Linked DNA regions of Drosophila melanogaster. The gene in region 2 interacts genetically with the main gene of each other region. Each region holds a gene or a part of one and is shown on either strand. Other genes may lie near its edges. The genes, in order: al and sbb.

Region 1 (5,188 bases), on a different chromosome or scaffold from region 2:
GTCACACTTTGATGATCGGCATTGTAATTTCGCCTCCGGTTCTTCGATAATGGCAAGCATTTTGGGTGGCTTAACTTTTGGCCCCGAGCGAAAGCTCAATGATCGCCCCCGATACCAGTCCCTTGGTGGTCCCCTGGAGAAGTTGACGGATTGGCCAGCGACGTTCCAAGCTTGGTCGTTTACTTTTGGTTCGATAAGACCAATTATTATTTTCGACCAGCTCTTGTAAGTCACCCAGAAATGTTTTTAACTAATATCACAAGCAGCTGAGCTGGGCCGAGTCGAGTCAATTCCGTAGTGTTTATCTCATTTAAGCTGCACCTGAGCCCTCCATTCACCTTCCAGTTGTTGGGTTGTTTGTTTCTTGGCGCCGTCTTTTGGACCAGGTGCGATAAGGCAGCATTCTTGTTGTTGGCCAGGCGCCGTCATCATCGTCTGTTTCTGTACCTCTTGTTCTGGGGTGTACGTTATGGACCTCTAATGCACACACTCCCAATTATAATTAGTTTATTCATATCCTGTGTCGAAGTTGCTGCCTCATTTGTTGTTCTTTTCCACAATCTTAATTCAATTTACTGCCTATCAGACGAAGTTGCAACGAAGGGTCTAGTACCCTTCCCCTACGCCTGGTGAATGAAGTTGGTCAACTAAGTTGTTGATCTACTTATCCTATATAATCCCTAATATGTCTACAATTTAAGGTATACATTAAAGTTTTAGGTCTACAGGCAGAACACGTTCCCATTTGAGACTATCTATTAGCTAAATACAATAAAAATTGTATGTACTTGAACTTTTGGGTAAAAATGTATTGACACATGGATTTCGAGCTCTCCAAGGGCATTCGAGATTCGCTCCCAGGTAGCAAAAATTACCCCGTGTCCACCCTAATGGATCAGAGTGCCGGGACGGTAGTCCAAAGGTAGACGCAAGTTCAAATTGTGACTCAGAGCCAGGATCAGCAACTCAAGACCCACACAGAAGACCAAGAAGTTGTTGATGGTGAATGGCGATGCTGTAGCTACAAGCTTAGCCCGTGTTGGTGATGTTGATGCGGGGCCAATTACTCATAAAAAGCATGTTAAGAACAGCAGTCGCAGTGAGGAGCTATAAATTGGGACCGGAGGGGATCGGGGATCGGTGATCGGTGTTCGGGGATCGGGGATCTGGGGATTGGACAACTGTTGCCCGACGCCATCTCCATCTTCGACTGTTCCGCCCTGCCCTTTGTCATTGTCTTGTGTGGTTTGATAAGCGAATCCGAGGCAGACGGTGGGCAATTTGTGGACGACGACGTTAATTTCTCATGTTTGCATGTTCCATTTAGCGAGGGGCAGGGGACAAGAATTAATGAAGCACATCTCAAAGGGCCCTGGCGCCATCTTCCCGCTGGAGAAGATTTCTCTCGGGGGGTGTGTTGCCATCAACGATCAACAATCAACCGACATCCCTTCAAAAGACAGCGCCCCAAATTGGGAGCTGTCGAGCAATCGAACAACAGCGAATCAAATCAAATCAGAGTTCGTGTTCAGATAGCTGCCAAAAATTCGGGTGTATATCTACAAGATACAGTATCTAAGGTATCTGGCAACAAGTTTTAATTGTATGTTGCCGTAATTGAATTGAACTACATTTCGGTGGAGAACATATTTTAATTTTACGCTGTACGGGACAATCTTATCGAATCTTTTCGGTATTATCTATTGGGAATGATGCTACCTCATAGATACAAATACACTGCGACCAACTTGCGTCACAAATTCGTTTAAACTTGTGCTGACAAGTCACATGAGTTATAAGTATTAATTAAATCAGTTGGCCAAGTGCCCGATTATCACCAGGAAAGAGGGTCCCGGTTTTCCTTTGCCTTATCAGGACCCACATATCTGTCTATATTTGTGTTATTTTCACTATATATTCGGGGCCCTCGTCCGCGTCACGAAGCTAAGTGGTCAGTGGCTTTTGACAAGATTATCGGCGGGTGATAGGTGTGGCTGGTTAATTTCATTTATTCTGTAGGTACACGGGACAAGCATAAGACTATGCCCCCAACTTTCGACCAAAACCACCTCTAGAAGGGAAAAACATCAGCTAGACAAAACGTGATTTATTGGCGCTGACTGCACTGCTGACAATTTGTACTCTTTAATGGTGTTTAATTAAAACCAATCAGCGATAAACTTATCGAACTATCAGCTAAGGCAAAGGCGAAATCTTTCGACCCTCAAAATTGAGTTAATAAAATTCTATTCTACAGCGATGATACGATTTGGCTTGATATTTGTCTGATTTGATATGTCCAGGTGGGAAATTAATCAAATTTAATGATATTTATGTCTCGTCATACGTTTTATTTTTCCCTCTTCACATTGATTGGGATGATTAGACAGGTGAATTATGAAATTCATTTATGGCTTATACTTGTAGTATTTGTCTATCATGCTGAGAAGTAGGTTATTCGCAAGGTGTGATAATAAGTTTATGTGATTTGGGGATCGGAAGTGGCGGAAAAGGGTCAAGATTAGTTTAGGGCTAAAACAAAATTTATATAAATTGCTTGATTAAGAAAATCCCTATCTTTGATATGATATAAGGCAATGACTACGGTTGTGATAAAAAATTATGAGTTACAGTAACTAGGATTCCCTGTTTAATGCACGCTCTCGATATAACAAATCCTATTCTGTCCAAAGAATGTTTCATATATTTTTGATAAAATGTCTGAGACTAACCTTCCTTCTCCTCCTTAATCGCCAGATATTGTACGGATGGTCTTGATAATGTTTGGCCTTCTGAATCTCTCTCTTCCTATTTAACCGGGCTAATAAGCCCTGTAGCTCTCACCAACAGTAACTTTTGCCGACGGTCTTTTGTCCACTTCTTCCAACAACCAGATACCGAGTACCAAGCGTTCACTTTGATCGCGATACACCTTTGATGGGTATAACTTTGTACTACGCGCAGGATACCGACACTTCCGCAATCGTACGCACTTTAACCCGGAAACAACAATGTATCCCCAGCTCGACTATTCGAATCGGAATCGGAACCGAACGCGACGAGATGACCGGGCTGTTCCAGAGCCGGCAGCAAACTACACGGTGAGCAGTTGGCGCGCAGGTGAAAACTCTGGTGGGTCTGAAACAACAACCGGTTGGAGTTGTTGTTTTCCAATGTTGCGAGAGTGGTTTTCTGGCCTCCCAGTGTTTTTAGTGTTTCGTAGTGCCGCAGAGCGAGAGGGAGCGATGCGATCGGAGCATGTCGATCGATCGTCGCAGGTGTCGCAGGTGAGGCGGCAGGTGGCCGGGAGGCGGACTCCGCCTCTTTCTGGCGGTTCGGCCTATGGGAAAGCAGCATTCGACGGAGCGAAATAATGGCGGAGCTGCTCTCTACCGCTCTCTGTCGCTCCGCATGGCCCTCTCTCTCGCGCCTCTTCGATTGGGCGTAATTGAATAAGCCCCGCACAAAGTGCAATAAATTTGATTAGCAAAATGGAAATTTATTTGCCCCCCAGCTCAACGCGTTTTCCTCTGGTTGCCATAGATGCATTTGCCAGTTGTTGCGGCTCATAAATTAAATAATTTAGCCAAGACATATGGGAAAAAGAGTTGCGTGTATTGGGGTGGGGACTTGGAACCGGCCATATAGACCGTTTTGGTAGTGTTAAGGGCCTCGTTAATGACTTTGTTGGCTTTATTGGATGATTGTCGGACTGTAGACTGTTTTGCTTACCCATCGGAGTGGGGGTGTCATGCGGGGAAGGGCAATAACTTGAGAAAAAGGTCAATGAGCCAGCTATGTAGATGACTCAAGTTAAATTTGAATGAAGGATGTTTGGAAAAGCCGTTGATAGTTTTTAAATAAGTGAATATTGATTTAGATTGATACAACGTGAAATACAAGCCATAGGCTTGTACATCACATCATTTTTATCACATCCATCTTCGTAATTTAATGTAATCCAAGGAAAAATGTTTTCCGTCCATGATGAAAAACTGAACTCAGCCCAGCTCTTGCCATTTCCGAGCAGACCTAACAGATTCCATTCCTTGATAACCACTTCATTAGGCTTTATATAAGCGGGCCTTATACATCCACAGATCCATTCCAGCGGCATTTTGCACTGGAAGCGTCCCCCTCCTTCGACCATCATTCGCTGCCCAATTTGCTTGTATCGCAAGGCAATAAATAAAGTGTTAATGGCAATTGCATACAAATAGTTTGGTGTTGCCATTATATGGCCATATTATCCCATTGTCGGGCCTTAACAAGAAGTAAACAATGCGACGCTCTCCGAGTTCCATTGCAGATCGGAATAGGGATTGGAGTCGGAGTTGGATCGAGTCCGCTGCACTGCTGCCAATTTCACGCTTCATTTACGGGCGAAATGCAAACAAAAGACCAGCGACCATCGACCGTCGACGGACGAGGAGTGACCATTTGTCCGACGAGTTCAATGGACAGCAAACTCGGACCGGGATCGGGAATATCTGGTACCGAGCACGGTATCTCTCGTCCCCATGTGGCCGTGTCAATCAGCCCGTCGCGCAAGGTGTGCACTTATTATACCCAGTGTTCGGGAAGAGCAAGGGCTTGATGTATTTACCCTTGAATAAGATGGTATCCTCACAATTGAACTTCATTTAATTTATTTTAATCGGAATCCAAATTAGAGAATTGTCAGGTCTTTATATGTACAGATTCAGTCCGCAGCATATATGCTTATAAGAGGATATTTGATGGTTTATTCGAATAGGGAAATTTCGTAATTTAGCGGTGAAATGGATCTAGTACTAGGTATTCCTCTGTCTCAATACATCCGTGTGGACATTCTTCCCCGTTCGGACTCAATTCGGGTCCACTCTAAGCAGGCTCAGATCGCTCCACAGCGCGAAAGAGACGGAGGCTTAAAGTGAAAGAGTCGCGCATGCGCGCACGTCCTAATGTAATTATTATCTCAACAATTGAATTTCCGGTCCCGACTTCGACTCCGCGCTGTGGCTGTGGGTCTGCATCCACTCCTGCACATGGGACAGATGTCGCGCAAAACGCTACAAATGTGCACTTAATTGCGCAATTAAATAATTTTATTTCTGCTGCGCGTTTTCCTTTTTCTTCTTTTCCCCCATAAGTCGTTCGCCGTTTTTCTCCTGGCTGATAGCAAACAAATTGCAGCCAAGTGGCCAAG
Region 2 (4,899 bases):
TGTTTACCCGAAATGCGTCTGCAATGTTTACTTAATTAAATCGAGAAATGAGCAAACAAAACGAAACGAGAAACGCAAACAACAACCCTATCTACAACTATATAAACTTAAATTTAAATAAACTTAAGATAAGGCAACGGAGATTTTGCTTCCGGAATTAGAAGCGAATTTAAATTTGCACAGATAAGCAGTATAATCAAGTAGAAATGCTCGTTAAGGAAATGTATTTTGTATGGGTTTTAATTTATGACCAAATGGATAGGTGGGCAGTGAAAGATTAGCATAGTATTAGTTTATAACCAGTAGGTTTTAAGTAATATTTTTTATAAAACTAAATATTTTCACTTAAGAAACATCATATTTTTAAGAAAGGGAAATAAGTGAAATGTAACTTTTCCATTTGGAAAAAGAGCACCATACACCCGATATTCATTTTCATAATTCGAGTAAATGCAAAACACGCCCAGTGACGCCCCCCTCCCTTCCTTACCCAATCAATGCCCCAACCCCACCTGCACCCCCACCCCCGCTCCACTGTTTTGTTTATCGCTCATCGTTCGGCTGCGCGCTGTTTGCCATTCGGTTCGCTTGACGCGTCGCCGCAGGCTTCATTAGGTGAGCGTGATTCCGATTCGCATTTCCATTTCGACAACGATTCCCATGCCCCCCGCTGCACCCTTTCTCATCGCTCTTCTTGATGACCCGCGAATTCCGCTTGTCTTCCCACATTACGCTTGCAAAACGAAATTCCATTCCATTGGTGCCGAACAAAAACCCAAATTAAATCCACTTCAATAAATCTCAAAAAGGTAACAAACAAAATACAAAAAAAAAAAATAAATAATAAAAAAACCAAGCACACCAACCGGCCTGTCAATTTTCTAATCGCTCGAAATAACAAGAAAAAACTCCATTTAATTACAAATCGGCTTAGATTGAAACGCCTTAATTGGCATTAACTCGATGAAAAAAAAAAAATGTGTACACGAATACTTGTGCGGTAATTAATCAAACTGGAAATCAATTTAGGCTCATGCCCTCTCGTTCCCTCTCTTCTTTGCTCTCCTTCTGACTCAATAGGTATCTGTGCTGTGCGAGCAAGAGAGAAAGTGTGGAGTATCTTAGAGATGTGTAAACTTAAACAATAGAGATTTTATTGCAGCTAAATGTTGGCTCTTTGTTTATTAACTCTATTACAATTGTAAATTAAATTAATTAGATAGTCTAAATTCGATAATAATTACTGTAACTTACCTTTTTATAAATCCAAAATAGTCGCAATTTCTGCTCTGAATATGCGCGTTCCCGATTTATAGACAGCATCCAAAAGATGAAGAGAAGGCTCGGGGGTCGGGTGGCAATGAGCAGTGGGTGGCGATGGGCAGGTGATGATTCCTTTGCTTCCTGGCTTGCTCGCACCCACAGTGAGCGACTATCGTGAGGGGGGTTTGGGGAGAGAGTGAGAGAGCACGCGAGAGGGCGTAATAATCCACAAAAGAAACTCCCAAACTCCCAGCTCCCGGAGCTAACGGAAGGTGAAATGCAAATCCGCAAAATTTTCCTAGCAGCGCAATCTCAGGAATTATTTTCCATTTATGTAAGAGCGAGAAAGAGAGAGAGAGTCAAACTTGGCTTTTCTTTCTGCTTTTCACTGCTTCTGCTGGATTCTATTGCTGCTGCTTCTTTTTTCTGCTTGTTTTTCACTTCTTTGACACTTTTTGCATTTGCTTCTCTTTTCTATTTTTCTTTTTTTTGCGACAAATGTATGAACTTTTTTATGAGGTTAGTTGTTGTTTTTTTCTTTATTTCTCTACAAATACACGAAAAAACGGCACTTTGAGTAAGGCGAGGGAGGGAGACGACGAGAGAGGGAGCGCGTGTCCAAGCTCTGTTGCCTTTGCCTTCTCTCCGCCTGTACATATGTATTTGGCAGAACAGAAGCTGCTCCACCGCACACATACACGTGTACATGCATAGCAAGAGAGGCGGTGAACAGAGCTTGGGGCATAGAAAAAAAATACACGGGGGAGTTGTTGCACGACAGAGATACGGCAAGCGAGGGGAGAAGTGGACACGAAGAGAGACTATACGACCGACGGACTGACGCGACGCGACTTCACCTTGCACACGCGCGGAAATTGGCGAGAGCGACAAAGCGACGACGGGTTCGTCGTTTGTCGGCGTTCTTTTACCGCAATGTTTGTGCGAAACATAAAAAAGCTTTGCACATACACAGCGGCTGGCAGTGCGAGCGAGAAAGAAAGAGACAGAGAGGGAGAGCGCAATACACACACACACACACACAAGCACATGCAGTGGCTGTATAGTAATTTTATTCCGGTACTATTCAACTGATGAAGCTTCTGTTGCTGTTGTTGTTATTGGCAGCAACATATTGCCAGTGCCACACTCTCATTTTGGTTCGTCTCCTTTTCCTTTCTTTTTTTACTACTACTTTTTAGTAGTTTTCTTTTCCTTTTTTTTTGGCGATGATGATTACGCTGCTCTTTTAACACACAGAGATACACATACAAACGCACGCACAAGTCAGGCCCAAGTGGGTAATTTGTTTTATGAGTAGCGGCAAATAGCACTTGTGTATGATTGTCGCTCTCCTCCTTCTTCTCGTTGCTGTTGTTACTCTTCTCTTTTCATTTTTTTTTTCTGTTGTGAATGACAGACAGCTACGAGTAATAATTTTTAATGCGTTTTTGGCATTTCTACGTTGCTTTGGGTTAATTGCTTGAAACGCGACGAAACACTAAATCACGCACACACAGATACGCGGTACGACCAGAGAGCGAGAGGCCAACAACACTTATTATTTTGTTGTCGAGTTGAATTACATTAAATGCACATGAGGAAATCACACTGGGGAACAGCTTTGCTTACTTCTTTTCCACAGATTTTAGTCCTTCTTGCTTGTTGTTTTTGGGATGTTGTTTTTCTTAATTAAAGATAGAACCTGATCCGCTCAGTGTTTTTTATGTTTTTGTTTGGCGACAGCGTTTTATCCGTGCTGTCCGAACGAACCGAAGGAGCAACGCGTACAAAAGCGCATAAATTGAGAGGCGAGAGTTGGCTAGCAACGCGCAGGGTTGTCGGCTATATGGGGAAAAATAACAAATACATTTCGGTAATTATATGGTTCCGAAAGAATTCTTGTTTTTAGTCGAATGCTTCTCTGATATAGTTATCGCGATTTCAAACTCTTAAAAGCAATAAAGTTACAATTTACTAATAAAAAGATTATTTACTTGTTAATATTCTCAGCCACTTGACAACCCTGCGGCATTTTCTACACACACATCCACTGCTTACATCGCACACACTGGCATTCCCATGCACATACACAAACGGTCTCTGAGCGGCATTTCTTTAATGGCGGCTTTTTCGCTCTTGCTCGTGCGCTCTTAGTGCCCTCTCCCGCTCTCTTGCTCTGCCGACGCCATATTGCGCAGTTATGTATGTTCATCCCTTTCCAATTTGTTTACAGTGCCGTCGTGTGGTCTCTCACTTGTCCGCTGTTGTTGTTTGTGTTATTGCGTTTGTTGCTCTTGTTATTGCTATGCCTCTGCAAATTGTTTTTGGTGGGGTCCTGAGGATTGATTACTGATTGGCATGTCGTTCGCCTATAGTCAGTTGCCTTTTGTTGTAGTTGTTCTTCCTTTCCGTTTGCTCCTTCTTATTGTCTTTCACCTTCTCACCACACGCACGCTGGCAGGCACACGCACACACCTCACCACCACCTCCACCATCTCCTCGACCAAAGACCATTTCCTCCTTGTTTTTTTTTTTTTCGTTGGTGGGCTGGCGGTTGGGGGAGTAGCATATAATGACATAATGAGATTTATTAGGCGCAAAATAAAGCCATAATGTTCCATTTGACCTTTGTGTAACTTTGACAGTGGTAATTCTCGCCTTCCTGTGCCACCTTATTATTATTATGATGATGGGCAAGAAATATCCTTGCTGTATATACATACATACATATGTATACATTTACATATATAGGGTGCATTGCAGAACATGAGCATTTTCAATTCGTCGTCAGCATTTTGAAAGTTGCCTTTAGCAGTCGCCGATGCAAAAGGCAAATAAGTTCCACTCAGCCCAAGTTTCAGATCAGGAGCGCTTAGGTTAAGCTGGTACAAGCCTATTTGTTTAAATATTTGTATATTTGAGCACTGTATTACATTTGTCTTTTTTTTTTTTTTTTTTTTTTTTTTTTCGATGATGTTTTTATTATTTGATCAACGCACTGTTACCCATGCGGCAACTTAATTTGATCTGCTTAAATTATTTTATTTTACAATGTGTCTTGGTTACTTAAGACTAACAGATTTTTAATCCTAAAAATGATAGGGAGAATTATAATAGTTGATATAACATAGTAATTATTATTTATTTGATTATTCTAATGAATTTTAAAACTAAGACTTTCTAGGTCAAAACCAGGTTAGGGAGGTCATGAGGGTGGTGTCGCTTGAGTCTTCTTTTGACTCTAGTCCGAGGGTCAGCATTGACCACAGCTGCAGTTCCTAGCTTCCTTGCTAGGCTGTTGGGGTGTACATTAAGCCTTTCCATATATTTTTGGGCGATGTTCTGGAGCTTGTCTCCTAATTTGGGCACCTTGAGGTCGCGTTCGATGTCTCTTGTTCTCATATACCAAGGAGCCCCCGAAATTCTTCTTAAGGTCTTCGCCTGTAAGATCCGGATCTTATTAAGGTGACTCTTCGCAGCAATGCCGTATACCTGCAGGCCGTAGAACAGGCAGGGGGCCAATATGGACTTGTAAATATTGACCTTGCAGCCAAGCGACAGTTTGTTGCGTGGTGCAATGAGCCAAGACATCCGAGCAACCTTGGTCCTGAACGCTTGCTGAATATTTGTGATGTG

What was found.
Region 1: of sbb (region 2) and al, changing one enhances a phenotype caused by changing the other (phenotypic enhancement), as found in Drosophila melanogaster (one study listed by BioGRID).

The regions. Positions count from the first base shown.
Region 1 is NT_033779.5:376,026-381,213, reverse strand, and holds the start of al (aristaless), read right to left. Parts: upstream 3,103-5,188; 5' UTR 2,733-3,102; intron 1-2,732. UniProt on the Drosophila melanogaster protein: Involved in the morphogenesis of proximal and distal pattern elements in a subset of appendages. Also has a role in early imaginal disk development.
Region 2 is NT_033778.4:18,354,246-18,359,144, forward strand, and holds the start of sbb (scribbler), read right to left. Parts: upstream 3,052-4,899; 5' UTR 2,893-3,051; exon of another isoform or gene 1,811-2,892; 5' UTR 1,255-1,810; intron 1-1,254.